4 linked regions of the Tamandua tetradactyla genome follow. The protein of the gene in region 1 interacts with the protein of each later gene in a pairwise test. Links are inferred from orthologs where the notes say so. Each region holds a gene or a part of one and is shown in the gene's direction. Other genes may lie near its edges.

Region 1 (6,966 bases):
AAGGAAGGAAGGAAGGAAGGAAGGAAGGAAGGAAGGAAATCACATTTCCCAGAGATAATTACTATTAGTATTTTTGTTGAATATCCTTTTACTAACATCTCTCTACACATACATATATACTCATATATATATGTTCAATTTTCTGTGAATAGATCATCCTCCAAATATTGTGTCAAAACCTGCTTTTCTTCACTCATTAAGTCTTGACTTTTGAGTTGTTGATCGAGTAACCCAAGGAGATATATCCAGAAATAAATTGAATATAACAAACTAGAATTTAAGAGAGCAAAACAGCTTGGGGTCACCACATGAGAGATGGTTATCAATGCCTCAGGAGGCAGATCCTACCAGGCAGAGGGTCAGAGGAGAAGAGGTAAGGGCCAGCCATAGAGCCCCTGGAACTCGCCACTGACAGGGCAAGAAGAACCAGAGGATGGGAACCAGAGCAGCCAAGGAGAGAAGCAAGAGAGTTATTGGCCTTCAAGAAAAAGAAACGAAAAAAAAAAGAAAAAGGAGTGGTCAACATTGTAAAAGGCCACCATTAGGTCAAATAAGATAAGGGCTTTGGATTTAGCAATAAAGAGGTAGCTGTTGGCCTGGATAAGAGCAATTTTAGTTAAGTGATAGATGGAAGTCAAATTGTAAAACAGCTGAGGAGAAAATGAAGGCAGTTTCTCCGTCCCCCACACTCAGTGCCCCCCTCTTCCCACGTCAGAGCTAGTTGAACTCTAATCTGTATCTGGTCCATTGAATTACGGACCACAACTTAGACATGTTCTTGGGCATGATCTGCATTCCTGTGGGTGTGAACCCACTGTAAATAGCATCTCTTGAAAATGTTATTTTATTTAGGGTGTGGCCCAACTGAATGAGGCTGGCCTTAATCCTGATTATTGTAGTTCATTAAAGGCAGAATGAAATTCAGAAGTAGAGAAAAACACAGAGAGGAGCCAGATGCCAAAAGTCAATGGAAGCAGAAAAGAAAGGAGAGGACATCACATGTGACACAAAAGCCAAGGAACCCAAGGATTGCCACCACCAGAACGCTACCACCCCAGGAGGAAGCAAGACTTCCCAGTCTCCAAATGAGAGATAATAAATTCCTGTTGTTAAACCAGCCCTTGTGTGGTATTTTTCTTAACAGCCAGGAAACAAAGACAGTGCATATGGATCACCTGAGCATTTTATTAAAATGCAGATTTGATGTAGGAGATCTGGGATGGAGCCTAAGGTTCTGCATTTCTAACTAGCTGGTCCATAGACCACATTTGAAGTAGCAAGGGACTAGGGAAACTGGGCTATCTATCCAGTGACAAGCTCCAGTCTTGATAAGCTCCCATAGAGCATCACCAAAGAAATTCAAGTGTGCAGAGATGAAAATGCATCCTTAGAGTTCTACATTATTATTCACATCAGAAAAACACTGAAAGGGAAAACCAAAGGAAACTTCTCTGTATTCTTACTTCTAATGTCTTCCCGCATATGTGCCTTGCTCATGAAAGTCCCTCCAACAGAGGAATTTAAAAGTGTTTCTTAATTTCCAATCTTATGAAGGTTTTCTAGTTTATTGTTGTTTTCGTTATTTCTAGTTTAAGTGCATTAGGTCTGAAAACATGCTAAGATCGCAGACCTTTGAAACTTAAGATTTGCTTTATGACTTGTCAATTTTTGTAAATAGTCCATGAGTATTTAAAAAGAATAAATTCTACAATTGTTTGGATGCCAAGTTTTATGCCTATTAAGTCAAATCTATTAATCAGGTTGACAAGTCTTCATATTTTAAACCAATTACTAAAAAGGAGATATGTTCAAATCTCCAGTCTCTCTACCTGGAAAGTCTTTCCTCCTCAGCTCTTCCTAACCCCAAGCATCCACCCATCAAATAGGGATTCAATGGTGAGAAAAATGTGATCCAGTCTCTGAGAACCCAGTTCTTGCTCTGATGGAACTGTCTGACAGCCTAAAACCTCCCTGACCATCCAGAACTTCCCACTCTCACTCCAGATCTGGGAGTATTTCTCCATCCTCTGAGAAAGTACGGCATTCACTACCCAGTTCACTAATTTGGCACTTAAATAATGTCTTCATTGCAACAGCTGTTCATAATTTATTTCCCTATCAAGTTTTAAATTCCAGGAGGGCAAAACTATTTTATTTTTTTATTAATAGATTTAGTGACATAATTTACATACTATAAAATTTGTGCTTTAAAAGTGTATGATTCAGGGTGCATGGGTGGTTCAGTGGTAGAACGCTCGCCTTCCATGCGGGAGACACGGATTTGATTCCTGGACCGTGCACCTATAAAAAAAAAAAGTATGATTCAGTGGAAGACCATCTTATTTGTCTTGGCACCCTCTATAGCAGAGGTTCTCAGGCTGAGAGGTAACACTGGAAACACCCAAAAGCTGACTTAATTAACTTGGAGCATGGCCTGGCCATGGGGATATTTAAAAGCTCTTGGGGTGATTTTAGCAGATTGTCACGGTACAAGGGTTAAGAATCACTGCCCTATAGTGCTTGCACATAGCAGAGACCCGAAAGTGATTTGTTGTCACCTTCAATTAGTCCTAGCTTCCAAAATTTAATTAACTCACCCAAGAGCTATCTTTTTTATCAGCTCTTACCACATAATGGTCTACTTATGCCTGTCTCCCTTAAGAGTTGTGCAAGGAATACAGTGTGAAAGGAAGACAAAAGCATTAAGAAAAACTAAGTTTACTTGTAAATGATATGCAGACTTCAGTAGAATGGATCATTGAACAAGAAATACGATAGATAAAGGAAGTGTAAAGGAGAAATTGCCACATTGACATTTGCCTTTTCAGCATGGATGATACGCTCGCATGGGGAGCCTGAGTCTCACATTCAAAGGTCAAGGGTAAAATGGTTTTTATTAGATAATTAATAATCTATGGGAAATGCTCAAAATTTTATTCATTTTGGAGATCTATGTACAAGAGTAGTTCGGTAATTTTGCTTATCTCAGGGTGGAAAGTGTCTTTCCAAATTGTTTTTTTCTTCCTCTTTACAATGGTGGCAAGGCAGTCTCATTTTTGTTTCCACATCTGTGAGCGGCATTATAAAGATCGTTCCGGTCTTTAATATTATGGCATTCCCATGCTGGCACGTGTTAGGTGTTTAATAAATTACTGGTGGGATGGATGTGATCACACCTCGCACACATTTAAATATGATTTTAAATGGTTTTGAAATTCTTAACTGGGCACTCCCTAAACTGCCTGACTATAACAAACTCAAAAGGGGCTTTTACTTCCATGGAAACAATTGTTGAGAGTCGGAGGTCTGAATGTATGAGCCTCACGTGAATAAAAAGAATGGTCATTCCTGGATGGATGACTACAAGATTCCCGTGGCTGCAAGCAGTCCCAAGGCTAAGCAGTCATCCTGCCCGTCCCTATAGCACCACTTAAGACCTTCCATTGACAGCTCCTCTCCACAGCCGCATCTTGGAATCAGCGTGGGCGTCCGAAATCGCGCCGCCTAGCCCACAGCAGCAGGATTCCCTAAGCAGGCGGGTTACGCCCCAGATATCAAGACAAGTAAAATAAGTCGCACCAAGGAGAGGCAGCGTGATTTGAGGAGCCGGCTTTTCCTCAAGCACCTCCACGGTGTTCCCTGGACCCGGCGCCCTGAACTCAGACGGCGCCCAGCTCCAGCAACCCTCGACCCCTCCACGTGTCCTCACTTCCCAGAAGCCTCCTCTGCTGCCTTGGGAGGAACCCTCCTGACAACTCGCGGTCTGTGGACTACGACTCCCAGCAGGCACCGCGCCGCTTCTCTCTCCGCCCCCTCAACGGGACACGCAGGCGCTCTGGGCCCCATCAACAAGCCGGGCTGGCGTCGACTTCATGCAGTGCCTGACGGGATTTGTAGTCTTTCTGGCGCCGGCTGGGGGGGTCAGTCAAAGGGACGAGAACTACAAGTCGCGGCGGCCCAGACGTGACGAGCTCGGTCACGTGGCAGGGGGCCGACCGGGCGTGCGTGCCGCCGTTGATCTGGTGCTGCAGTGAGGAGGTGGTTCTCGCCCGTGTTGTGTGTGTGTGTGTGTGTGTGCGTGTATGTGAGAGAGAGAGCGAGTGAGTGAGTGAGTGTGAGTGTGTGTGTGTTGTGTGTGTGTGTGGGGGGACTCGGCTTGTTGTTGTCGGTGACTTCCCCCTCCCCTCCACCCCTCCCCCTTCCCCGCCGCCGCTGCAGTGGCCGCTCCCTGGGCCGTAGGAAATGAGCGATAACGATGACATCGAGGTGGAGAGCGACGTGAGTCCCGGGGTTTCTTCCTTCCCGGGCGGGTTGTCAGGCGGGGACAGCAACCGGGGCTTTCAGCCGGGCGACGGCGGGAGGGGGTCGGGCCGCCGCCTCCTCCTTTACCTTCCCTTCCGGGCCGGGACCGCTTCTGTCGCGCTCTGGGCTCACTCCTCTTAAGGCTCCTGGCCGGAGAGGCCTCTTGGGACTAGAGATGGGAAGGTAGACACGCGGCGTCTGGGACCCCCACCTCCCCTCGTGGATGAGGGTGCTACGGCCGCCCGCTCCCAACCTATCTGGTTCAGGATCCAGGGAACAGGGATGGGGTGCTCCTAGGATCCTATTGTCCCGATCCTGGGGAAGAGCACGGCGCTCAAGACCTGCACCCTCGGTCTGCGATCCCTTCCTCGTGACCCTCGGATCCTGGAGAATGAGGGAGGGCGGAGAGGGGTTGGGAGTGCCCAGATGCCCCGAGCTGGGTCCAGGGAAGGAGAAAGTGCTCAGGACCGCTCCCCCCCCCCCCCGACCCAGGTTGGATCCCGGAAGGAGGGGCGGTGCTCGGGACTCCCCCGGCCCCACTACCGGATCCCGCTGATTGGGGAGGGGAACGTGGGGGGGGGGAAGGGGGGTCGGACTGACTCCCCACCCGCCGCTTCCTCTGCCGCCGGCATTTTCTTTCTTATTATTGAATGTGAAGTGTAAAAATAACTTCTTTATTTTCTATTTTTTTCTCTCTTATTCCAGGAAGAGCAACCGAGGTTTCAATCTGCGGTACGTCTCCTACTCTCCATTTCATTTTCATTTCCGTTCAGTTCTAATCCTTTTGGGGTTAGAGAGAAAAATATCGTTCTATTACTTTTAATATTTAAGTAGCCTCTCCTGTTAACCACTAAGGTGAGGTGGGGCCTTGTTCTGGGGTTCTGAATGTGGGGGGAGGTTGCAAATCTCTTAATTCTAGATTCTCAGGTAATAGGTTCCAGTGACTGTAGGTGAGTGGGAGCAGCTGTATGCAAAGAAAGGAATTCTTTCTGTAGCTTTCACATAGAGGGTTTAGTTGACAGAATGTAAGTTGGAAATGAGAAACACTGCTTTCAGCATTCTGAAGTAAATTGTAGGATTATTTCAGGGGAATGTGGTCAGAAGATTTACTTAGAATAAGTAGTATGCAAAACTATATCTGTAGAGTTGTATGAAGCTGAAGCCACATGCAAGTTACCTTAAGTCATGTGACTGTTACAGACTCATAGGATTTAGCACAGCATGATACAAATTGGCAGTGTTCTTAAAAGAGCTAAAGCTTGAGTATGAAAGTGGCACATATAGTTGATTGTGGTCTAACTCTTTTTATATTTTAGTTGAAGGAAAGGTATAAAGAAAATACCAAAATTGTTGAAGAGAGGTGGTATTGGGGAGAAAGGTTTGCTAAGAGGTGATGGATGAGACCACACAAAGTATTATCAATAATTTCTCAGGGCTTTGATATTTATGTTCTCAGTTCTGTAAATTTAGATAGACAGTACTCTCACGTTGGAGAATGAGACAGTACTGTGGATATTCTATGAATAGATTAGAGAAAGAAAAAAGGAAATAGACAAAAACAAATCAGAATCAGAGAGGGGAAGAGAAATAAGGATAACAAAATCTAATTAAAAGTAGGGAACAATAAGAAGTGTATAGAAATGCCTGTGGGAGTCAGGCAGTGAGATGGTCAGGATAAAGTGGTAGAAAGAGGGGAATAGTGGAGCACATACCTCTCCTAAAACGGTGCTACTACTCACTTCCAGTAGATTTTTACCATGTGGGATAAGGGTTTAGTGTTGCCAGATTTTCCTGTATTTCAAGAAATATTGGAGATCTGTACTTTTATGCTGTTTCTCTGATTTTTAAAATGATGTGTGTGGAACAGTCAAGCTGTTTGGGGCTGGTTAGGGTTTGCAGGAGGCCCTTTTGGTACCAGTGGTATATGAATTTAATAACCACAGAATAAAGGAAAGCATTCTTACGTGTACCAGCTCTTCATTAGAGCAAACAGATCTTGCAGATGGTCTAAGCAGAGGGGCATTAGGAAAAATTTTATTTATTGAGAGCTGATAGTTCCTTAAGATCTAAGGATGCAGTTGTTCCAGAAGTCCTAAAAATTGTTCCTGGGTAATAGTCACTAAAAAAAATTTGTTTTGCTTTATTTTTCTTTGAAGCTTTGTCACAAACATCTATTTATACATGAAATAGAATTTGAAAATTGTATTCCTTGTTTTCAATTATTCTTCTTAATAATGTGGACAATTCTATTTAAAATATTTTTTTTTCTTCATAATTATTGTAAGAGCTACCTCAGGGCCTGATTAGGGTCAGAAAGTAGTGATTGGATAGAGCTCTCATAAGCCCTCTTGCGCAGATTCATCCTTTGAATTGGAATTTTTTGGCTTTCTAGTGAGAATAAAGTTTTCTTGGTGAGATTTCAACTTACACTTCTTGAGAACTTTCCTCTTTTTATAGTATTCATCCTCATAGGCTTTGATGTAAACTGGTATATGAAGTTACTGAAATGTTTTCCATAGAATGCTAATCTTCATTTTGCCTAGATGTTTTAATTTGGTGTTAAGGTGACCTAAGAGTTTTCCCTTTTAAATATTACCTGTCACAAGATCATCACAACAGCATGGAGAAAAAGCAGACATGTTAAGGATGAATTTCGTAGTATCT
Region 2 (7,038 bases), on another chromosome or scaffold:
CAACTTACTTTTCAGAAATAGAAAAACCAATAAGCAAATTTATCTGGAAGGGCAGGGTGCCCCGAATTGCTAAAAGTATCTTGAGGAAAAAAAACGAAGCTGGAGGTCTCGCGCTGCCTGACTTTAAGGCATATTATGAAGCCACAGTGGTCAAAACAGCATGGTATTGGCATAAAGATAGATATATCGACCAACGGAATCAAATAGAGTGCTCAGATATAGACCCTCTCATCTATGGACATTTGATCTTTGATAAGGCAGTCAAGCCAAGTCACCTGGGACAGAACAGTCTCTTCAATAAATGGTACCTAGAGAACTGGATATCCATATGCAAAAGAATGAAAGAAGACCCATCTCTCACACCCTATACAAAAGTTAACTCAAAATGGGTCAAAGATCTAAACATTACGTCTAAGACCATAAAGCGGTTAGAGGAAAATGTAGGGAGATATCTTATGAAACTTACAATTGGAGGTGGTTTTATGGACCTTAAACCTAAAGCAAGAGCACTGAAGAAAGAAAGAAAGAAATGGGAGCTCCTCAAAATTAAACACTTTTGTGCATCAAAGAACTTCATCAAGAAAGTAGAAAGACAGCCTACACAATGGGAAACAATATTTGGAAACGACACATCAGATAAAGGTCTAGTATCCAGAATTTATAAAGAGATTGTCTAACTCAACAACAAAAAGATAGCCAACCCAATTACAAAATGGGAAAAAGACTTGAACAGACACCTCTCAGAAGAGGAAATACAAATGGCCAAAAGGCACATGAAGAGATGCTCAATGTCCCTGGCCATTAGAGAAATGCAAATCAAAACCACAATGAGATATCATCTCACACCCACCAGAATGGCCATTATCAACAAAACAGAAAATGACAAGTGCTGGAGAGGATGCGGAGAAAGAGGCACACTTATCCACTGCTGGTGGGAATGTCAAATGGTGCAACCACTGTGGAAGGCAGTTTGGCGGTTCCTCAAAAAGCTGAATATAGAATTGCCATACAACCCAGCAATACCATTGCTGGGTATCTACTCAAAGGACTTAAGGGCAAAGACACAAATGGACATTTGCACACCAATGTTTATAGCAGCGTTATTTACAATTGCAAAGAGATGGAAACAGCCGAAATGTCCATCAACAGACGAGTGGCTAAACAAACTGTGGTATATACATACGATGGAATATTATGCAGCTTTAAGACAGGATAAACTTAGGAAGCATGTAATAACATGGATGGACCTAGAGAACATTATGCTGAGTGAATCTAGCCAAAAACTAAAGGATAAATACTGTATGGTCCCACTGATGTGAACCGACATTCGAGAATAAACTTGGAATATGTCATTGGTAACAGAGTCCAGCAGGAGTTAGAAACAGGGTAAGATAATGGGTAATTGGAGCTGAAGGGATACAGACTGTGCAAGAGGACTAGATACAAAAACTCAAAAATGGACAGCACAATACTACCTAATTGTAAAGTAATCATGTTAAAACACTGAATGAAGCTGCATCTGAGCTATAGGTTTTTTTTGTTGTTGTTTGTCTGTTTGTTCATTTGTGTCTTTTTTTTACTATTATTATTATTATTTTTTTCCCTATATTAACATTCTATATCTTTTTCTGTTGTTTTGCTAGTTCTTTTCCTAAATCGATGCAAATGTACTAAGAAATGATGATCATGCATCTATGTGATGATGTTAAGAATTACTGATTGCATATGTAGAATGGAATGATTTCTAAATGTTGTGTTAATTTCTTTTTTTTCTTTAATTAATAAAAAATGCTTATAAAAATAATTTTAAACAGTGGTATATGCATAAGATGGAATATTATGTAGCAATAAGACAAAATGACGTCCTGAAGCACATGATAAGATGAATGAGCCTTGAAGACGTAAATGCTGAGTGAAATAAGTCAGACACAAAAGGGTAGATACTGTATGACTCCACTTTTATAAGCATGGTAAAGGTAAAATCAGAGGCTTATAATACAGAATACAGGGGTCTTAGAAATACATAGAAGCTTGAGATGGGTGAATGGTTAGCTAATGAAGTTGAACTCCAATGTAAGGAAATAGATAGGAGTGAAGGTGGTTCTCTAGTGGGTCTATAAGTAATATATCATATAGAAGGTGAACATGATTGAAAGGGGCTGTATATGTATATATATAATCCCACTAACACTAGAAACATAAATACTTTCTTGCAAGAATTAAAAATTAAAAATATAGAAAAATAAAAATAATACAAAACCCATATAGCCAACTTCAGTATATTCCCACACATGCCAAGATCCATGAATTTCAACATTTTTTTTGCCACATATGCTTTATCATTCTGTCTATCTATCTATCTATCTATCTATCTCATCCATCCATCCATGTATCTGTCCTCTAAACATCTGAGAGTAGGTTGTACACATCATGTTCCTTGGACACATAATACTTCCCTCCCAGTACATTTCCTAAGAACAAGGAAATTCACTTCCGTAACCACTTCAATGTCTAGAATTCTTTGACATCCTTCCTACACACTGATAACACCTATTTGGAAAAATCTCCCACCTCCCTGGTCCCACACTTCCGGGGACGTGCTCTCAGCCTTGCCTCTTTTCTGCTGAGGCTGCGTCAAAGCTGCAACTGGAGGTTTGTGTGGTTACTATAATGGCCTCTCTCCCCGACAAGTGTGACCTCTGCAAAGGCTGGGCCCCCATTTGTTTTGGCCATTGCTGCATTAATTCCCCAGCTCCCAGTACGGTGCCTGGTGTCCAGTAAGTGCTCAGCAGATGTTTAGTTGGCAAATGAATGGGTGGAAGGGTGCGTGGACAGTCCGAAGCTGGAGTTCTGGGCTGAGCATGTCAGTGACCCTCAGAGAAACTCCAAGGTTATTAACAGGGACTTAAGGAGCTGTCTGGCACGAGGCATGTGTTTACCTAGGACTGTTTTTATAAAGCATCCACCCCCCCTTTCCAGATTATTGTGACCGCAGTCGCAGCCAACGCCTGGGTAGTAAACGCTCCACCCTGTCACGGCTGCTTTCATCTTCTGTCCCCACCCTGAGACTCTGTCACTGACCCCAGCAGGCGTGGCTACGCCTGCTGATGTTCCTTCCCAAGGCTAGGGAGTAGATCACGTTCAAGGAAGACTCCGAGTAAGGCACCCAGGAATCTCCGGGCGGAAGCAGCCCGCGGCAGCAGCCCCTCCGCGCTGGGCACTGCACAGGCAGCGGCTCCGACCTTCGACGCCGTCCCGGGGCTTCCAGAGCTCGGAGACTAGCGGTCAATCCCGAGACACACGCAGCTGAGGAGTTTGCCGCGACAGGAGAGAAACGCAACCCCGTAGACTCCAGATCCCAGGCCTCTCTAGAAAGCCAATTCGCGGGCTTCCCGGGCAGGGGCCGGGCCAGGGAAGTTGTTACCCTTCCGACGTTCCCGTAGAGCTTCCCCGCGGATGACGAGGAGAAGCCAGATGCAGGCGGGCTTGCGGACAGATCCCCCAGCGCAGCAGCTGGGTCCGCGCACCTCAGCCTCGGCGCCTGCGCACTGCGGCCCCACGCCCCGCTCAGCCCGCCCCCATCGCCCTGGTTTTCAAATTTGAAACCTGCTGCTTTTCCCGCCCGAATTTGTTGACCAGAGGCGGGAGAGGGCGGAGCCACGCGCCAGCCAATAGCGCCTCAGAGGCTCCCCGGCCCCGCCCCGAAGATGACGACAGCGAGACGCTGGAAGGAATCGACAAATAAACGAGCGGCACCTAGCCGTCCCACCTCCGCGGCGCCCACGTGCAGAGGTCGGGCCAGCGGCTCCCCCTCCCCGAAGGGCCACTGTCGGCTCAGAACACGACCCACTTGGTGCTAGAAACTGAGGTCCTGGGGTCCCGGCGCGGGGTCCCTGAGGGAAGAAGGCCAGATGCAGCCCCGCTAGCCCGGAGTCTACCCAAGCGTCAGGCCTGGAGCCCGCGCCCCTCCCACTCCCGTGTCCCGCGAGGGTCCGAGGCTGCCTCGGGGTGGGCGGGCCCGTTGGGGGCGGGCCGTTGTTCCTGGGGGGCGGGGACTGGGCGGAGCGTCCTGGGGGCGGGGCCGGGCGCCTGTGTTTGTTGCACCGTGTCAGTTACATTGTAACAAAAGTGGTGCGGACGCTGCTCCGGCCAGCACCCCAGGCCCGCCCGCAGCCAGCAATTAGCGGCATGGAACCCGTGGCCAGCAACATCCAGGTCCTGCTGCAGGCGGCCGAGTACCTGGAGCGGCGTGAGAGAGGTGAGGAAGTACCTTTGGCGGGACCCCAGGGACAGCGATATCGCTGACAAGGGCCTGGACTAGACTTGGCTCCCATTGCAAAGGATGCATGACTCTGACTAGGGCAATAGACCCGGGGCGTCCCCGCCCTCAAATAGAGAGGTGTCCGCCAGCGGCCGGGTAGGGATGAATGTGGGAAATGGCCCAGGCGCCAAAGGCCCTTCCCTGGCCCTGTCGTGCCAGGGGCGCCCATGGGGACCGGCCCCAGCTTGACGCGGGCGGGGGCTCTTTCTGGCAGAGGCCGAGCATGGCTACGCGTCCCTGTGCCCGCACCGCAGTCCAGGCCCCGTCCATAGGAGGAGGAAGCGAACCCTCGAAGCTCCTGGCGCGCTGGATAGTGGGCGGTGAGGAGGGTCGGGGATGGCGGAGAGGGAGAATGGGCGCTGTCCTTCTCGGGGCCCCTCCTCTGTCCCCTTTGCTTCGTCCCTCTCGCTTGCATCTTCTGGGCCAGGTGCTCTGTTCCCGGAGGCATGCAGATCCCTAACCATTTTACCTCTTCCTGTCAATTCCCCACATCGGAAACACGCTCACATCCTTCCCATTCATTCAAGGAATATTTCTTGAGCTTCCTCCTTTGCTTTCCTTGCCTCAAATCTTTGCACATGCTGTTTCCTCCAATTTGAATGCTCCTCCTTCCACAAACCCGCCTTGGGAAATTTCTATCTTGGGTCCACCTCAAATGTCATGTCTGTGCAGGAAGCCCTTCCTGACAGCTGGACAGGCCTCTCATAGCATTTGGCTCATTTATGTCCCTAACTCCCCTGACTCCTGCTTGGGGGCTCTGGTACCAGAGGCCAGCACAAAGTCCCCATAGGGATGTTTAGCGCCACTGGGGTCCTGGGACCGGGTGATGTTGGGCAGTAGCTGATGCCTCCTCATCCCATCCTCCCTGGCATTGGCAGGTCTGTGCACAACGAGCTGGAGAAGCGCAGGTGAGTCCCAGCCCTGCCCTGACAGCACAAGTCCCCCAGGAACTCCTCCCTCAGGCTTCCCTTCCCCTGCCGTCCCTGCGGCCAGCAAGGCAGGGTCGGCACTGCCCTCCAGACCCTTTCCCCTGCAGGAGGGCCCAGCTGAAGCGGTGCCTAGAGCAGCTGAAGCAGCAGATGCCACTAGGGTCTGACTGCGCCCGGTACACCACGCTGAGCCTGCTGCGCCGTGCCAGGGTGCACATCCAGGTAAGGAGCCAGTTTGCCATGGTACCTGGAGGGGGCTAATATGGAGGGACTGGGTGGAACTGGGCAGAGACGCCTGAAGCCAGAGCCCAGCTGTGCTTAAAGTTACCACGCTTGTTAAATGTGAAGAAAAGTAGAAAATGACCCAGAGGGTAGTTCTGAACCGTAAAGGAGTTCATGCAATAAACGATAACTGTTGTTATTACTGTTATTCTTACTTAGACCCTAGCTGTGAGACATTGGGCAAGTCACAGTCTCTCTGGATTTCCGTTTCCTCCTTTGTCTGGGGTGGGGGTGGGCGGTGGCTGTTGAAAGGCACTGTGATCGGGCAGATACAAGGGTCCCTTGGATTGTAGAGGATTGGCCCTGGCCTCTCCCCTGCCCCCTTCCTTCAAGGCTTCCTGCCCTGGACAGTTTGTCCTGATGCACTCTGGGCATCTGCCCCAGAGACCAGGAAGGGGAAAGGGCAGAGAAAGCACCAGGCAGGTATCTTCCCAGGATCTGGCTCCCGCTGGGCTGAGCTCGAAGCCCCCTGGTGGGCCGGACTGGGGTTTACCGACTTAAAGCCCCAGCCTGTACCAGACATGTCAGGATTTTTACTAGGGGCCTTGGAAACAACAGAGGGCTTTTTCCATCCTGGCAGAGGAAGAAATGGAAGCACAGCCAGGTTAAGGGCCAGGTCTAACAGATGAGAGGCAGATTTAGGACCCAGACCTAGGGCCCCTGGTTTGCATTCTTTCCTTCCACAAGTATTTAGGAAGCACCACCTCTGCCAGGCACTGATGTGCCAGTGAGCAAATAAGTGGGAACCGGTCAGTCTGTCTCACAGGTGCCAGCGATACCCTCGTTATGGCTGAGTGGTACCCTAGTGGGGTCTGGAATGGACTAAAGGGCTGAAGTCCCACTTTTGCCTCTCTCCATCATGTATGGCTTGCTCTGGACTTTAAGTGATCCCGAAGTGTCTGTGACCTCTCTCCCTGCTTAGGCACCTTCTGCAGCTCCCAGTTGTAGTGTCCGTTCAGAGTCTCCATCACCCAAGCCTGTCCTGCTCTTAGTGACCCACCATAGGTGACCATCTGCCCCCTCTCCCCTACCTGAAATGCCCTCCATCTCCCTACCTCCCTTCACTCCCTCACGCACTCCAAACCCCGACTACTCCAGGGCCAGGGACCCCTCTCCCCTTTGGTAGGCAACATGGTTCAGTGTCTCACACGGAGCTTGCCTGGCCGGGCACTCAGATGGCTGATGTGTGCCTGTCAGGTGCCGGGCGGACCGTGGGCAGGACCCAGGTTCTCTCTTTCCTCGAAGTCCCTTTATCTCCTCTCCTGAACTGACACGGGCCTCCTCCTGGGCCCCTGCTTCCTCTTGCCTCCACCAGGCTGTCCTTCACTTTGCCCTAGCGTGAGCTTGGCAGCACAGATCCATTTCCAGCTGAAAATCCTCCAGTGAAAATCCACAGGATCAGTGGCTCCTGATAGGACCAAGTCTCAGTTCCTTATTTCCTGTGAAATTCAAGGTCCTTCGCAATCCAGGCCTTGCCACTGATCTGCTTTTTTGGTCTCATCTTTT
Region 3 (7,034 bases), on another chromosome or scaffold:
AACATTTTTTAAATTTGTACATTTAGTCACTATCATCATACACTCTGGGCATTCCTAGATTATACCATCTCAATCTTTATTGTCTAGCTTTCTTTCTGTTTTCATTTATGCCCCCAGCCCTCCTCCCTCTATCATTGTCACATTCAGCTTCATTCAGTGTTTTAACATAATCGTATTACAGTTAGGTAGTATTGTGTTGTCCATTTCTGAGTTTTTATATTCAGTCCTGTTGCACAATCCGTATCCCTTCAACTCCAATTACCCAATATCTTACCCTATTTCTATCTCCTGATGGTCTATATTACCAACGAAATTCTCCAAGTTTATTCACTAATATTCTGAAAAGAATTTGAGGGGACATTTTGTTGTTTTGATTTGGGACATTTTTGTCTGCAAGTTAATCATTTCACTTACAGTTGTCTAATAGTGAGCAGCCTTGGTCAAGTGAGCAGAATCTGCCCCACAAATTGTTCACTAATATGCTTATTTTATTATTTTAAATAAATATAAACAATGCTGCACCGTTATGTTATATGGACGTTTAATTGCATCTTCATTAACTTTGATTTTTGCCATCTTCTTTTTGTATTTTGGAGACGATTTTTTTTTGCATGTCAAACTTTTGAGACGGTGCTCCAAACCTCGGGGGCCTGGCCTGGTGCCGTGGCTGGCTGGTGGGGTGGCTGCTGCACCACCCTGGGCTCTGGCCATGGCTCCGCTACTGACCAACTGTGACCTGATAGGCCCTGCCTCTCCGGGCGGAGGCTCCTGCTGGATCGGAGCTGATCCTCAGGTTTCCTGCCACTTCCTGGGCCCCCTCTGTGTCCAGCCCACCCTGCTTAGGGCCCCCCAGGCATCCTCCCATTCCAACACCCAAATGCCCCAGCTAGGGAAATGGAGGCACAGGGAGGTCAGGCGACTTGCCCAAGGCCTGGTGGCCAGACTAGGATGCAAAGCAGTCTGGCGGTCCCCTGGGTCCTTGGAGGAGCTGGTCTTGCACACAGTGAGGCCACAGGGCTGGGGGCTGGGGACCAATGTCCTGGGGGCTGGGCGATGACCCTGGCAGCCTCTGGCTGTGTACATCTCGCACAGATGCACTCCTGCCCCCAAGGGAGCTGTCAGAGCCAGGGTCTGAGGCCAGGTGGCTGTGGGAGACTCTGGAAGAGGGACAGCCAGGGGTGGGGTGGGGGGATGCTGCTCCCTGGTGCAGCATTGAAGTCCCGGGCACTGCAAAGAGCCTTAGGCGTGTTTCCCCATCAGGTGGGGGGTGGATCCTGGGTCCCGAGGAAGGGAGCCAGGCCTATCGGGGTGGGTAGGCTGGGAAGCAGCCTTCTCTAGGTCTCTTCTTAGGACCTTGGCTGCCCTCCTGGGGTGCTGGGAGGAGGGGGGGACAACCTTTTCCAGCTCTGGGCCAGGTACCCGCATCCCACCCTGAGGCCGCCTGTTCGGGCAGGCACCATCATCCCCGTTAGATTGCTAGGAAAACTGAGGCTGGGGCAAGGGCAGAAATCCCAGCAAGTCCAGGCAGAGAAGTAGCTCTGCCCTTCCACCCAGAATCCGAATGAGGGGTAGGTTCCCCCCAAAGAGTAGTGAGGAAGTTTGGACAAGCCAGAGCCGAGTCCAGAACTGTGCTGGGTCCAGGAAGGCCGCATGGTGGAGGGATCCTGGGTCCTGCATGAAGGGGGGTGGGCGGAGGCTCAGGGTGCGGGTAGGAGCCTATGCTCCTCTCCAGCACCTCATGACTAGTCAGTCCTGCAGGTCCCTACTCTGGAGAGGGGGTACCAGTCTGGGAAAAGGATGGGGGGCGATGAGGGGGCCGCTGGCTCAGCCCGGATTCAGGGAGGGCTTCCAGGAGGAGCGGTCATGTACCTGCTCACAGAGGGGCTCAGGTTAGGCGGAGTTGACAGGACCCCTACCCACCCAGCGCCTCCGCCCGCCCCCGTATTCCGGGACACGTGCCCAGGGAGCTGCGCACCTCCCCCCCCCCCCCCCCCCCCCCCCGTCCGCCTCCCTGTCCTGCCTGTCCCGCTGGCCGGCTCTCCCTGGTGCAAGCACCAGCCTCACACCAAGGCAGGCTGGGGCCTGCATCAGGAAGGGTCGGGCCTGGGTGTGGCTGGGGGTGGGGGTCCGAACTGGCCTAGGTAGAGCGTAGGGGATCCCCCTCTCCTAGGCTGAGGTCAGGCAGGCAGTGGCCCACCTGGGCCCACCACTGCAGCTTCTGTAGCCCAGGCCCCAGGGTGGGTCCTGCACCCTGCCTCCCCTGGGCACCTTTCCCACCAGGGCGCAGAATGCACCTAACTCCCAGAATTGGGGACCCCTTTACCCTGCTCGGCTCTGGGCAGCTCTCCGGGCTACTCAGGAGGACCCCAGTGAGGAGCTCTTGCTGGCAGGGCCCTGAGATGCTGGCGGGGCGGGGTGTTGCAGAAGTGCAAAGGGCCAAGGTTAATACCCACAGGGGTTCTCTTCATGCCCCCACCCCCGCCCGCGGGAACTGGTCTTCCCATCCCGGTTGCACAGGTCGGACCCCAGCAAGCCGGGCTGGGCGAAGAGGGGGCTCTGGTATCGAGGCACCTGGGCCATCCCTCGGCCGGGGGGGGGGGGGGGGGAGTCCTGTGGAAGCTCTCGGATCTGCTGGGGGCTGCCAGGAGACCCCGGCCAAGTCACTAAACCTCCTCAGAAGTCTCGATTTCCTCATATGTGAGCTGGGGATGAGAAAATGCACAGGAAACGCCTACATGGCATTTACAAAAGTATAAGGTTTTTACACTTTATTCGATTTGCTGGTGGTAGCAGCTGCCACACTCCCCCATCGAGAACTTCTGCGGTGGTGCAGGCAGCTCGGTCCACAGACCCCAGGCCTGCCGGCCCCGCTCCTCGGTCACCAGGCCACCGACCTCAAACAGAAGCCACTGGGAAGCGGAGGGGGCCGGAGGCGCCCGGCCAAGAGGTGCCCTCCCGGACACGCCCGAGGTCTGAGGCTGCCCCGCGAGCGGAGGCTCCCTCTCCTCGCCAGCTCTGGGCCAGCCCCAGGGTCCGAGCCCCCTCGGGCCGCCGGGCAGAAGCTGGAGGAGTCCAGCCGCTCCCAGCGAGGTCAGCTCCCCTCGCTAGGCTCCCCACGGAGTGGATCAGTGCTGAGCTTCCTGCAGGGCAGCCGTAAGGCCCGCAGCCCGGCGTCGCGGAAGCCCCTCCGCACCGTGGGGCAGCCCCGGGCCCCTCCTCCAGCCAGGGCGCCTCGGGCAGCTCGGAGCCAGCCGCTCCCTCTCGGGGCCTCCGTTTCTTCCTTGAGGTCCCTGTACCCCTCCTCACACGCCGGGCCTTTCCTGGGCGTCAGTCTGTCCGGCGGGGAGGGGGCTCGCTTTGCAGCCCCACGCGCGACCCCCAGCTCCCCTGGCAGCGCAGCGTTTGTCGCCGACCGGGCTCAACAGCTTCCCCGCGGGCGCAGAGCTCGGGCGGGCGGGGCGCAGGGGGCCCGGCGCCTGGCCCACGGGTCCCCGCGGCTAACGGGTCCTGGGGGCGGGGCCGGGCTCCCCGCACGCTCCCCTTTCTCTCCACAACGCGTCGGGCCGCAGCTCCCGTCATTGGCCGGCGCCCCGCGGCCGCTCATTGGCCCGCGGTCCCTATTTTACATAGACTCCTCTGAGCCAATCGGTGCCCAGCGCCTACTTAACATGCACGACCGCCGCCAGTCAGCGCGCGAGGGGGCCGAGCCACCACGTGCTGTTGCTAAGCTTGGGCTACTAAATTGTTACTACCGTGGCCGGCCTATCGCAGCCGAGCTTCGGATCTGTCAACATTCTCGGCCCCTGCCCGAGGGGCTCGCCGGGTTTCCATTGGCCGCGGCCCGCCTCGGCACCCGCCCCCCAGGTCGGAGCGCGAGTCCTCATTGGCCCGGCCGGCCGCCGCTCGCCCTGATGTGTCAATTTGCGGGGCCCGAGGCGCAGGGTGGCGGCCGGGCGTGCTGGAAGTCCGCGGGCTCGGGGAGCGGTGCCGCGGGGCGCGCGGGCGGGCGGGCGGCGAGCGGGGCCGGCCGGGAGGGGCCGGGCCGGGCCGGGGGCGGCTGCCGCCGTCCGGGAGCGCGGCGGGCGGGCACAGAGGATGGAGCTGAACTCCCTGCTGATGCTGCTGGAGGCGGCCGAGTACCTGGAGCGCAGGGACCGAGGTAGCCGGCACCGCGCCCCTTTGTGCTCCGGACGGCGGGGGGTGGGGGGCCGGGGGCTCCGATGACCGCGCCGTCTGTCCGCAGAGGCCGAGCACGGCTACGCTTCGGTGCTGCCCTTCGACGGCGACTTCGCCAGGAAGAAAACAAAGGCGGCCGGCCTGGTGCGCAAGGCCCCGAACAACAGGTACCGCCCCCCGCCGCCGGACCCCCTGGGTCGGGGTCGCCCCAGCTTGGCTGGACCCGGGCGGCACCCCGCGTCCCTCGCGGCCCAGCCTCGACCCGCAGCCCCGGCCGCCCCGCGCGCCCCGGCGGCCAGCCTGGAGGAGGCGGCGCTCGCCCGGGCTCCGCGCTGCCCCGCCTGCCGGCCCCGCCCGCGCCGTCGCCATCTTCCCCGCGGCCGCGCCTCCCCGGCCGCTCGCGTAAACAGTGCCACGCGTACAGCGCTCGCCGCCGGGGTCCTGGCCGCTCCCCGCCCCGACGCGTTCTCCGCTTCCTCGGGGAGGGAAAAAAGTTGTCAGCGGGGAAACTGAGGCTCCGCAGAGGGCAGGGTGAGGCTGCCAGCCCTGACCCCAAAGGTCCCCCTCTCCGCGGGTGGGTGCATCCTGCCGCGTCCCCCCTCCCTGACCCAGGGCCGAGCCTGCCCCTCTCTGGGCTGAGCTGACCCCGCGCCCTGGTGCTTCTGATGCTCGAACAAAGGCGACCCTGCCCTGGGCCCCAGCCTCCTCCCGGGGTGCCCACCTCAGGCTACGCAACCTCGTGAACATGACAAACTCCAGAGACCAGTACAGGGGGCACTTCAGGGGGTCAAGAGGTCTTCGTGGGGAACCAGGGTTAGCTGAGGGGTGAGGGGCAGGCTGTGACCCCCTGTGTCTCGGGCTGTGTCCCTTTGGCCCTGTTCCATGGGCTGCAGAAGCTCCAAAGCTGGTGCTCGCATTCTGGTAAGGAGGGGTCACTGTGGGGCAGGGCTCGGCGCTCCTGGCCCTGCCAGGGGCCCCTTTTGGCCTCTGCTGCTCCCCTGCCGTTCTGCCAAGACCCCTGCTTGCAGGGGCTTCAGGGCCCCTTGGCTGAGGCGGGCCTCATTCCTGTGGTTTGTTGGTTCTTGGGAAACAGGAAGGCTGGCACTGGGACCTGTCTTGAGTGACGTCCTGGCCCTGGGGGCGCTCGGTCATTCTCCAGCTGCCCCAGCTGGGGTGTGTGTCCAGGCCCGATCCCCCTGCTTGGGATGGTTAGGGTGAGGCTATGGGGGGTGTCCCTACAGCCAGCCCCCCACAGCAGGCCAGGTCCTGCCACCCATGGAAAGCTCTGGGCTGGGACCTCAGGCTCCCACTGCGTGGAGCACCCAGAGCTGATGTCCAGCGCCACGACCAAGGCTTCCTGACCATTTCCTATGCTCACAGTGTCTCACATGCCCAGTTTCTTAATCTTCAGGGAGGAGGGGAGGAAACTGAGGCCCCAAGAAGCTGACTTACTGGTGCAGGGCTACCCCCTCCCCTGCCAGCTCTGGGTGACTCATCGGGGTGGTCCTGGCCTCCCTGTCTGATGGGATAGGCATTGGGGGAAGGAAGCATAGGGTCTCCTGCACCTGTGCAAACCTCCCTTACAGGGGGCCTGGTTTACAGGGACACTCCCTTCCCAGGGGGTGCTTATGGCTGTTCTGACCCCAGATGGGGAGCTGGGGCAGAGTAGGGGGTCCCTGGGCCCTGACCACGCAGACATCCACAGGCCTGTACAGCTCCCCATCCTGCTGCAGTAGGAGACAGGGTCCGGTCATAGTTGGGGGGAGCGGGGGTGCTAAGGAGCCATCTTTGGGGCTTAGCAGGAGGGGGCTGAGCCAGCTTTCCTGCTGGGACTTGCATTCCACTGGAAGGCGAGGAGAAGACCACTTTCCTCGGGGGGCTGAGGAGTGACCACGTGGTTCACCTGGCCCCAGACCCCTGCAGAAGTACGTCCCAGCACCTGGGCCTCACACACCTCTGCTCAGGGACCTGCATGCCGAACCTCCCCCCAGGATGGGCTCGGGGCCCCCTCCACCCCCCAGGCTGCTGGGGGAGTGTGCCCTGTTTCCAGGATGGCTCCCAGGCAGCCAAGCTTTGGGTTAAGGGTTGCCCCTACAGGTGGGTGATTGGGGAGCCTGCTGCACCCCCTTCTTGTTCCCAGCTGAGTGACCAGCAGGCCCTGAGCCCCCGGCCCCGCACGACTGGTGATGGGACCGTGGTGGGACCGTGAGCTGAGCCCAGGCCCAAGCGGCAGGTGTACCCAAATGGGGAGGCGGCAGTGTGAACAGATTGAGGCATGAGGGCGCCCATGGGAGACGCTGGGGTGGGAGAGAATGCAGGTGGCAGCTGACAGAGCCTCGGGCAGGAGGGCACTGGGGGGCAGTGCTTGGCCTGGAAGGGTCCCGGGCCATCCTGGTGACACTGTCCACTGCAGCCCCCAGCTAAGTGGCCCGATGGGAGGGGGCATTCCAGGCCTGCGCCTCTGTAGGACCAGGGGTCTTCAGTCACACAGGGGCCCCCACCTCTGGAGGGCCCCTGTCCTGAAGGGCTCCGGCCAGTCTGCAGGGAACCCTTTGTGCTGGCCCACTCTGGTGCTACGGAGAGCCGTGGGTGATCGGTACCACTGCCCCTGGCCTCCCCGCCCACACCCCCACCACACCCTGGGAGGGCCTCACCCAGAGAGCAGGGTGGCTCTGGGTGCCCTGGCCCTCATTGCCGCCCCCTGCCTCAGCCCTCTGTGGTTCCCCCTATCCCACCCCCGCCTGCCCCTCCTTGCACTCGGGGACAGGCAGTGCAGTGAGTGGCGTCTTTCTGTCTCTATGCAGGTCTTCACACAATGAACTGGAAAAGCACAGGTAAGTGACCTCCCAGCCCCAGCC
Region 4 (6,909 bases), on another chromosome or scaffold:
CTACAAACCATGACCCAGAGGAGTTAAAACTTGTCCAAATCATTCATCGGGTTAGGAATTGAGTCAGGAGGAAAGAACCCAAGTTTTTTCTCAGATTAATATTTTTCTTATGCAACATTAGCGACAGAAGCAAAACTCAGGCAAAGGATGGGAGGTGGCATACCATTTTCTGTGTTTGAAAATAGAACTCCAAATCCACAGGTGTTATGTATAGGACACATTCAAAAAAACATTGCTATGTGTACTTCCTGGACTTTTGTTTTTTTTCCGGAGTCCCACGAAATTAACAAAATTGTGAATATGGTTAATATGATTTAGGCTCTGACTAGCTAGCCTTCCTGGGATGAACTGTCAGTGGAATTTTAGAACCTTAAGACAAGTGTCTTACTTTGAAAACTGTCAGAATGTGATATACCACAACTAGAATGGCTTTTTTTTTTTTTTTTACTTTTAACAATCAGTTTAATATGTTACAAGTTTACAGTTCTCAGACATGAAAATGTCTAAATCAAAGCATTAACGGGATGATACCTTCTACCTGAATAAAAGCTGCTGGCAATCTGGGGCTTCTCTGTCAGAAAGCAAAACACATGGTGACTGACATCTGCTTGTCCTTCTCTCTTTGGTTTCCTTGCTTTCAACTTCTGGCTGCCCCCTCTGTGAGCTTCTTTCCCACCTTCTCTGGCTCCTCTCACTCAGATTCTCTAGGGGTCTTTCTTTAAGTGTCTTCTTTTTGTCTTTTATCCTGTTATAAAGGACTCCATTTCCACATTTTGGGTGGGTCCACTCTCTTCACATGAGAAGATGCCTCAGCTTCCATGGTTCTGTGTCTGAATTCATTTTTTCTTCAATTTGCCCCTTTTCTGTACTTTTTAGTCAGGCTGGCAATGGTCCCATTCATACGGATCATGGTTCAAGAAGACCGATGACGTTCAGGGTTTCTCACTCGGCTGGTAGGGCACATGGCAAAATCTGCTAGCATTCTCTTCTGGCTTCTTGTTTCATGACGCTCCCCAGGAGGCATTATCCTTCTTCAGCTCCAAAACCTGCTGGCTGGTGGACTCTGTTTCGTGGTTCTGTGGCGTTCTAGAACGGCTTTTTTTTTTTTTTTTCAATTTTATTTTTTTAAATACGAAAAGAACACCAAATAAACGCTAACATTTCTATTTTGATCTTTCAGTGTAGAACGGCTTTTTAAAAAGGGGAATTTAATAAGTTACAAGTTTATAGCTCTAAGGAAGTGCAAGTATCCAAATAAGGCACCAATAAGAGGTTACCTTCACTTAAGAAAGGCTGATGTGTGGGCGGGCCACGGTGGCTCAGTAGGTAAGAATGCTTTCCTGCCAAGCCTGAGGACCCAGGTTCGATTCCTGGTACCTGCACATGTTAAAAAAAAAAAAAAAAGAGGCGGATGTGCCGGGAACAGCTCTGTCAGCTGGGCAGTTACGTGGCTGGCACCTGCTGGTCCCTTGCTCCTGGGCTCCAATGCCTTCAGCCTCTGATCCTGTGGAGGTTCCTCTCTTTACTTCTCTTGGACTGGCTTTCACCTCTTGTCTTCCCTTGGCTCTCTCCAGGTTCTGGCTTGCTTAACATTTCATGGCAGCATCTGCTGGGCTCCAAGCATCTCAAACATCCGTGTCTCTTTTCAAGTGTGGGCATCTGTGTCAGTTCTGGGCTCTGTGGCTTCTGTCGTTTCTGACTCCCCCCAAAATGTTTCCTCTTTTAAAGGATTCCAGTAAACTAATCAAGACCCACCTGGAATAGGTGGAGTCACATCTCCATCTAATCAAAAAGTCACACCCACAATTGGGTATGTCACCTCTCCGTGGAGACAATTTAATAAACAATTTCCATCCTACAGTATTCAATAAGGATTAAAAGAAATGGCTGCCTCCACAAGATTGAATCAGGATTAAAACATGGCTTTTCTGGGGTACATAGTATTTTCAAACTGCCACACCAAGGGTAGTGCTTTCGAGAGAAGCTCTGTGCAAGCCAAACTCTGTTTGTTAGGAATGTTTCATGAAACTAGGAGAGGAAAAGGAACCATTGGAAGGAGACTGGGATGCAGCATCTGAAACACTGAGTTATACAATAAAGGCAAAAATGAGTTTCCAGGGCCTCTTTACTCCAAAGTAGGTAAATATTAACAATTTAAAACTCTTTGAAGTGTGGGCACAGATGCACCCTCCACCTTCTAAGCACTTATGTGTCATCATTATTTCACTGCAATAATGTCTACAGTTCAGCTTCTTAACACGTTAAGGAAAAAAAACTTGAAGTGAAGGAGGGAGATACTGCAAAGATATGTACCAACAGATGGGCAGAAGTCACTATGGAGTCTAAAAAAGATCTGCCATGTACGAATCTGTCAGCATGCCTCTAGCACTGTCTAGGGGAGAAACAGAATAATGGAAAAAAAGCATTCAAGAGTGCTGCATTGGAGAGAGTATGGGATACTGGTTTAAATATAGCCTTTGCCACTAACTAGTACTCATGTTTATAGAGTGCCTGCTATCAGATATTGTCCTAGGTGTTTTTATATTTTTACATTAGAATCATGACAATCCAAAGAGTAGGTATGATTGGCCCCAATATGTACTTAAAGGAACTGAACATCAAAAAGTCTGAAAACCTGTTTAATGTCATAGTATAGTAAATACAGAACTGCAAGTTGACCATAGATCTGTTGACTTCAAGGCCTGATCTCTTTTCACTATAGCCAGTAGTTCTCAAACCTAGTTGTGCATCACAGTTGCCAGGAGAACACACTAAAATAAATTTTCCAGATCCCCATTCAAAGATGGTAATATAGTACTTTTCTCTCACTTTCTGTTAGGATTAAATGTAATGAAGTATTTTGGTGTTTTTATAAACTTTAACATGACTATGCTTATGATTTAATGATTGTATTATATATGATAACTCAGTCCCTTCCTTCTGATCTTATAGTCAGGAAACAATTTTCTGATAACTAGGCTTATACAGTACCTTAAAACCAGGAAAGGGTGCTGTGATTGGTAATACTGTGAGCTGTGGCTTGTTAACCACATTATAAATTATTACATCTTCTTGTCTATAAGTGGGAGCTCTTGACCAGTGCTATTCAAATTCCCCATATTTTGACAATTCAATTTTGTAAATTGACAATACAAAGTTTTGCAATCAGCAAAGCTGAGAATGGAGTGCAAAGCAGAAGAGGTATGAATTATTATAAATGTGGGCTCTTGGGGAGTAGAATATTAGGTTTTGGCCCGAGCTCAGTTTGTTAATACAATTTACAAAACGATTTTTTTTTTTTTAAATGTAAGACCCCCTTTCTCAGCGTTATCAGAGGGTGTGTTTATCTCGGTTCCAATATTTGGCTGGTGTTAAGTGGAACCAGAATGTGTAACAGGCCCACGTCCCTGGCCACTTTAAAATGCCCTCCGCTTCCTGCGCAATTATAGCAATATATAACCAAGCAAGGTCTGCTTTTCTAATCCCAATAATATAACTATATTTCCTCTTCCAAGCGGGGCTTGTAAGTTTTATCTAAAGTAGGATACTTTCCCACTGACCATGAAAGGTTGGTAGTTTACTTGTAGGCAAATACCCTTGCTCAAGTTTTTGCAATATTCACAAAGGCACTCACAAGGCACTTATTAAATGCATGCTCCGTGAGAGGTTAAGAGGTTTCCCTAAGACCACACAGATGGACCAAGTCGGGGAGGGGTATCGAAAGTGCTTGTTAATAGCAAGCCACACGCCGATAATTACCCACACAGCCTCATTCAGAGCTCATAGACGGGGCTCTCAAGGGGACCTGAAAAGAAAGACCCAGAGGTGAGAGCCAGGAAATCGGGAGAGGTGCCTTTCCCGGCATGCTCTGCAGCATACTGAGGGGCGCCAGATATATCCCGGCGTGCATCGGGGGCGCCCAAGGGCGATGATCCTCAGCTCCTGGAGGGGTATGCGAGGTTAAGCCGGTAGGTGTGACCTTATTTACTTTTGAGACCCTGCTTCCTCCTTTCGCCTTTATGGCTTTAACTCCATAAGGCCTGAAAAGAAGGTCCTGTTACTACCCACCCTTTCCGCGTGTGAAAGACTTTCCCCGCTGCTTCGAATGCGGTGCCAGGTGATTAGCGGTTAGGGGCGGGCCTGGGATTAGCACGTGACCAAATCTGGCAGCCAATGATTAGCCCTGTGGTACGGCAGCGCGAGGATTCCCGGACCCGTGAGCGGAGCGGCGCGTGGGCTGGCTATGGTCTGCCCTGTCAGGTACGCGCAGGCGCTTTGGTTGCCACGCGCTTCGTCAGTTCTCACGCGCCCAGTGGCGTGTACTTGGCGCGAGGTGTTACGAGTCTGTGGGTATTTTTTGTGGGTAGGGGGTAAGGAGAGTGTGTGTGTGTGTGTGGGGGGAGAGCGCTATGGCGTCACGTGAGCACCATAAGCCAATCGCAGGCTGAGGCGCACCCGCTGCTTCTCCGGCGCCCCGGGGTGCGACGTGTTCAGCGAGCTTAGACTAAGCGGTGACGGGCCCAAGCGCTGTTTTCGAAGCGCGTATGCGGCCTGTGAAATCTGGCCGTGGGTTTTCGTATGGTCCTGTTCCGCTGTGAGCACGAACGATAAGTTCTCGGCAAAATGGCTGCGAGACAGAGTCGCCTAGCAGGGGGAGCGCCGGGGCCGCGTGAAGGTCACATGACGGGGTTGGCAGCGCGTGCTGCTGGCGCGGGGAAGGGGGAGGGTGGGAGGGAAGGGGAGTGGCTAGTCACGTGCCGTCGGCTGTGCCGTCCTGTGGTTCTGGAGCGGCTTTGCTGTGGCCAGATTTTCTTGTGACTCCTCCCACCTCAAAGCGTGGCAAGAGTCTGGGAGAAGCGGTTGTGGGTGTGATGGCAAAAACCGTGGACTGGGAAGTAAGAGATTTGAGTTTTAGACCTTTGGCTAATTGTGTAATTAGCAAGTACATTGTCAGTCTTGGCTAGTGTTTCCTCTTTTATAGTTTATGTCTGTAGATGAGATTAAGGCCCTACATATCTATAATGTGTTGGACCTTTGATCTCTAGGTAATACCAATTTCATGCAGGGTAATCAAATTATTAACAGTTATTAATGAGACAGGTCCGGCTCTCCCGTCCCCCAAGGAAAAAACCGCAACTGAACTTCCTGCACTTTCTTCCCCCCCAAAAACGAAAACAAAACAGGACAGTGATGTGGAAAACCTGTTGGAAGTAATTTATTATAGAATTTCTCAGAATGGTATCCATCTTTATCAATTGCATTTGTAATCTGTTCCTGCCCCCTGTCACGTTTGAAAAATATTCTGCCATTTAGACAGCTGGTCCCTATGTGTATTCTGGGAAGAAATTAAGGTTGGTAAGTATAACTGTCGAGATGGGGAAACAGTGGTGGTTAGAAGGGACTTGTTAATACTCATTTAGGTCTACTGGAAGGGCCTAGAAGTCTTCTCCACTTGGTGGGCCAATCTTTGTAAAGTTTTTTGGGCTTTGTGCCACCAGTCTTTCTTTGGTGTTTTTCATGATTCTCTGCTCTTACCTCCAGCTCTTCATTTGACCAAGGGCCAAGGCCTTGGTGAAATGAAGCAGTCATAAGTGATGTATTTTTCCTATTACTGCTTGTGTGTGATGGTGGCCTTTTGATTTACCTTAAAGAATCTTTGAATTTTGTGGAATAACAATCTGTAAAACATTGGACAAATCAGTAAGAACAGCCACCATGTTAAATAGTTCATAAGAATAGTTAACATCTTCTCAGCGTAATGTTCTAAGTAGTTTACTTTTTATTTTTTTTAGTGCTTTATTTTTTTAAAATTCATTTAGTTCATGTAACAAACCTATGCAGTAAGTACTATTATCTCCATTTTATTAATGAAGGAAATAGCCACAGAGAGATTAAGTAATTTTCAGAAGTCATGTGGCTGGTAATTTTACATAATTCCAACCTGAATTCCTTTTGGAAACTTAAAGTAATGATTCTTAAATTCATTTGGAGCAATAACCTGTAAAGTAGACAAAACTTTGAAAGAGAATAATTAGGTTCTGGATTATCCAATTATCACTGGATTCCATACAACCAAAATACTGCCTGGCACATAGTAAGCACTCAATTAATAAGTTAAATGAATAGATTTGTCCTTTAACTTTACGGTGTTTCTGCCAACTACAGGTTGTTTTATGTAATAACTATCAATATTTGCCTTCATAGAGTCTACCTCTGTAGCCATGTTAAACAGTTCATCCTATTTCAAGATCGGAAACTGTTAACGGTTTTTTTTTCTTTATTTTCTTTCTTTCTTTCTTTATTTTGGCACGGGCAGTCTTTTCTGGTATTACCATAACTTTATTGGCATTTCGCAAGTCCTGGGACTTTATTGGCATTTCCTGGGACTTGTGAAATGCCAATAAAGTTATGGTAATTAAAACAATAGGTAGTAGGCCTGAAATAGACAAGGAAAGTAGAAAAGAAGAATAATCTAGAACTATATAATGTTATTTAGTATAATAATGGTGGCATTTTAAATTAGTGGGAAAATATTCCAAAGTTATATTGGAACAATTGGCCAAACACTTGGATAATACAGAGTCAGAAAATTATGACTCAAAAAATGGGTGAGCAGAATCTTCACCTGCCATGCTGGAGACCCGGTATGATTCCTGGAGCCTGCCCATGCCAAAAAAAAAAAATGAATAAATAAAATAAAGAAAAAAAAAACGGTTAACAGTTTCCGATCTTGAAATAGGATGAACTGTTTAACATGGCTACAGAGGTAGAATCTATGAAGGCAAATATTGATAGTTATTACGTAAAGCAACCTGTAGTTGGCAGAAACACCATAAAGTTAAAGGACAGATTTATTCATTCAGTATTCATTTAACTTATTGAAGGCTTACTATGTGCTAGGCAGTATTT

The links.
Region 2: the proteins of MAX (region 1) and MXD3 interact in a two-hybrid assay, tested with the Homo sapiens proteins (4 studies listed by BioGRID). The link is inferred for Tamandua tetradactyla from reciprocal best matches to the Homo sapiens genes MAX and MXD3.
Region 3: the proteins of MAX (region 1) and MXD4 interact in a two-hybrid assay, tested with the Homo sapiens proteins (2 studies listed by BioGRID). The link is inferred for Tamandua tetradactyla from reciprocal best matches to the Homo sapiens genes MAX and MXD4.
Region 4: the proteins of MAX (region 1) and MGA interact in binary tests that used the Homo sapiens proteins (3 or more experiments, as listed by UniProt). The link is inferred for Tamandua tetradactyla from reciprocal best matches to the Homo sapiens genes MAX and MGA.

Annotation. Positions count from the first base shown.
Region 1 is NC_135338.1:22,368,797-22,375,762, reverse strand, and holds the start of MAX (protein max), read left to right. Parts: upstream 1-3,943; 5' UTR 3,944-4,242; coding exon 4,243-4,278; intron 4,279-5,007; coding exon 5,008-5,034; intron 5,035-6,966. UniProt on the Homo sapiens protein: Transcription regulator. Forms a sequence-specific DNA-binding protein complex with MYC or MAD which recognizes the core sequence 5'-CAC[GA]TG-3'. The MYC:MAX complex is a transcriptional activator, whereas the MAD:MAX complex is a repressor.
Region 2 is NC_135346.1:59,027,190-59,034,227, reverse strand, and holds the start of MXD3 (max dimerization protein 3), read left to right. Parts: upstream 1-4,031; 5' UTR 4,032-4,188; coding exon 4,189-4,258; intron 4,259-4,535; coding exon 4,536-4,641; intron 4,642-5,199; coding exon 5,200-5,229; intron 5,230-5,357; coding exon 5,358-5,472; intron 5,473-7,038. UniProt on the Homo sapiens protein: Transcriptional repressor. Binds with MAX to form a sequence-specific DNA-binding protein complex which recognizes the core sequence 5'-CAC[GA]TG-3'.
Region 3 is NC_135345.1:2,085,474-2,092,507, reverse strand, and holds the start of MXD4 (max dimerization protein 4), read left to right. Parts: upstream 1-4,033; 5' UTR 4,034-4,095; coding exon 4,096-4,159; intron 4,160-4,243; coding exon 4,244-4,343; intron 4,344-6,980; coding exon 6,981-7,010; intron 7,011-7,034. UniProt on the Homo sapiens protein: Transcriptional repressor. Binds with MAX to form a sequence-specific DNA-binding protein complex which recognizes the core sequence 5'-CAC[GA]TG-3'.
Region 4 is NC_135340.1:55,242,470-55,249,378, forward strand, and holds the start of MGA (MAX gene-associated protein), read left to right. Parts: upstream 1-3,891; 5' UTR 3,892-3,968; intron 3,969-4,069; exon of another isoform or gene 4,070-4,243; coding exon of another isoform or gene 4,244-4,260; intron 4,261-4,751; exon of another isoform or gene 4,752-4,895; intron 4,896-6,909. UniProt on the Homo sapiens protein: Functions as a dual-specificity transcription factor, regulating the expression of both MAX-network and T-box family target genes. Functions as a repressor or an activator.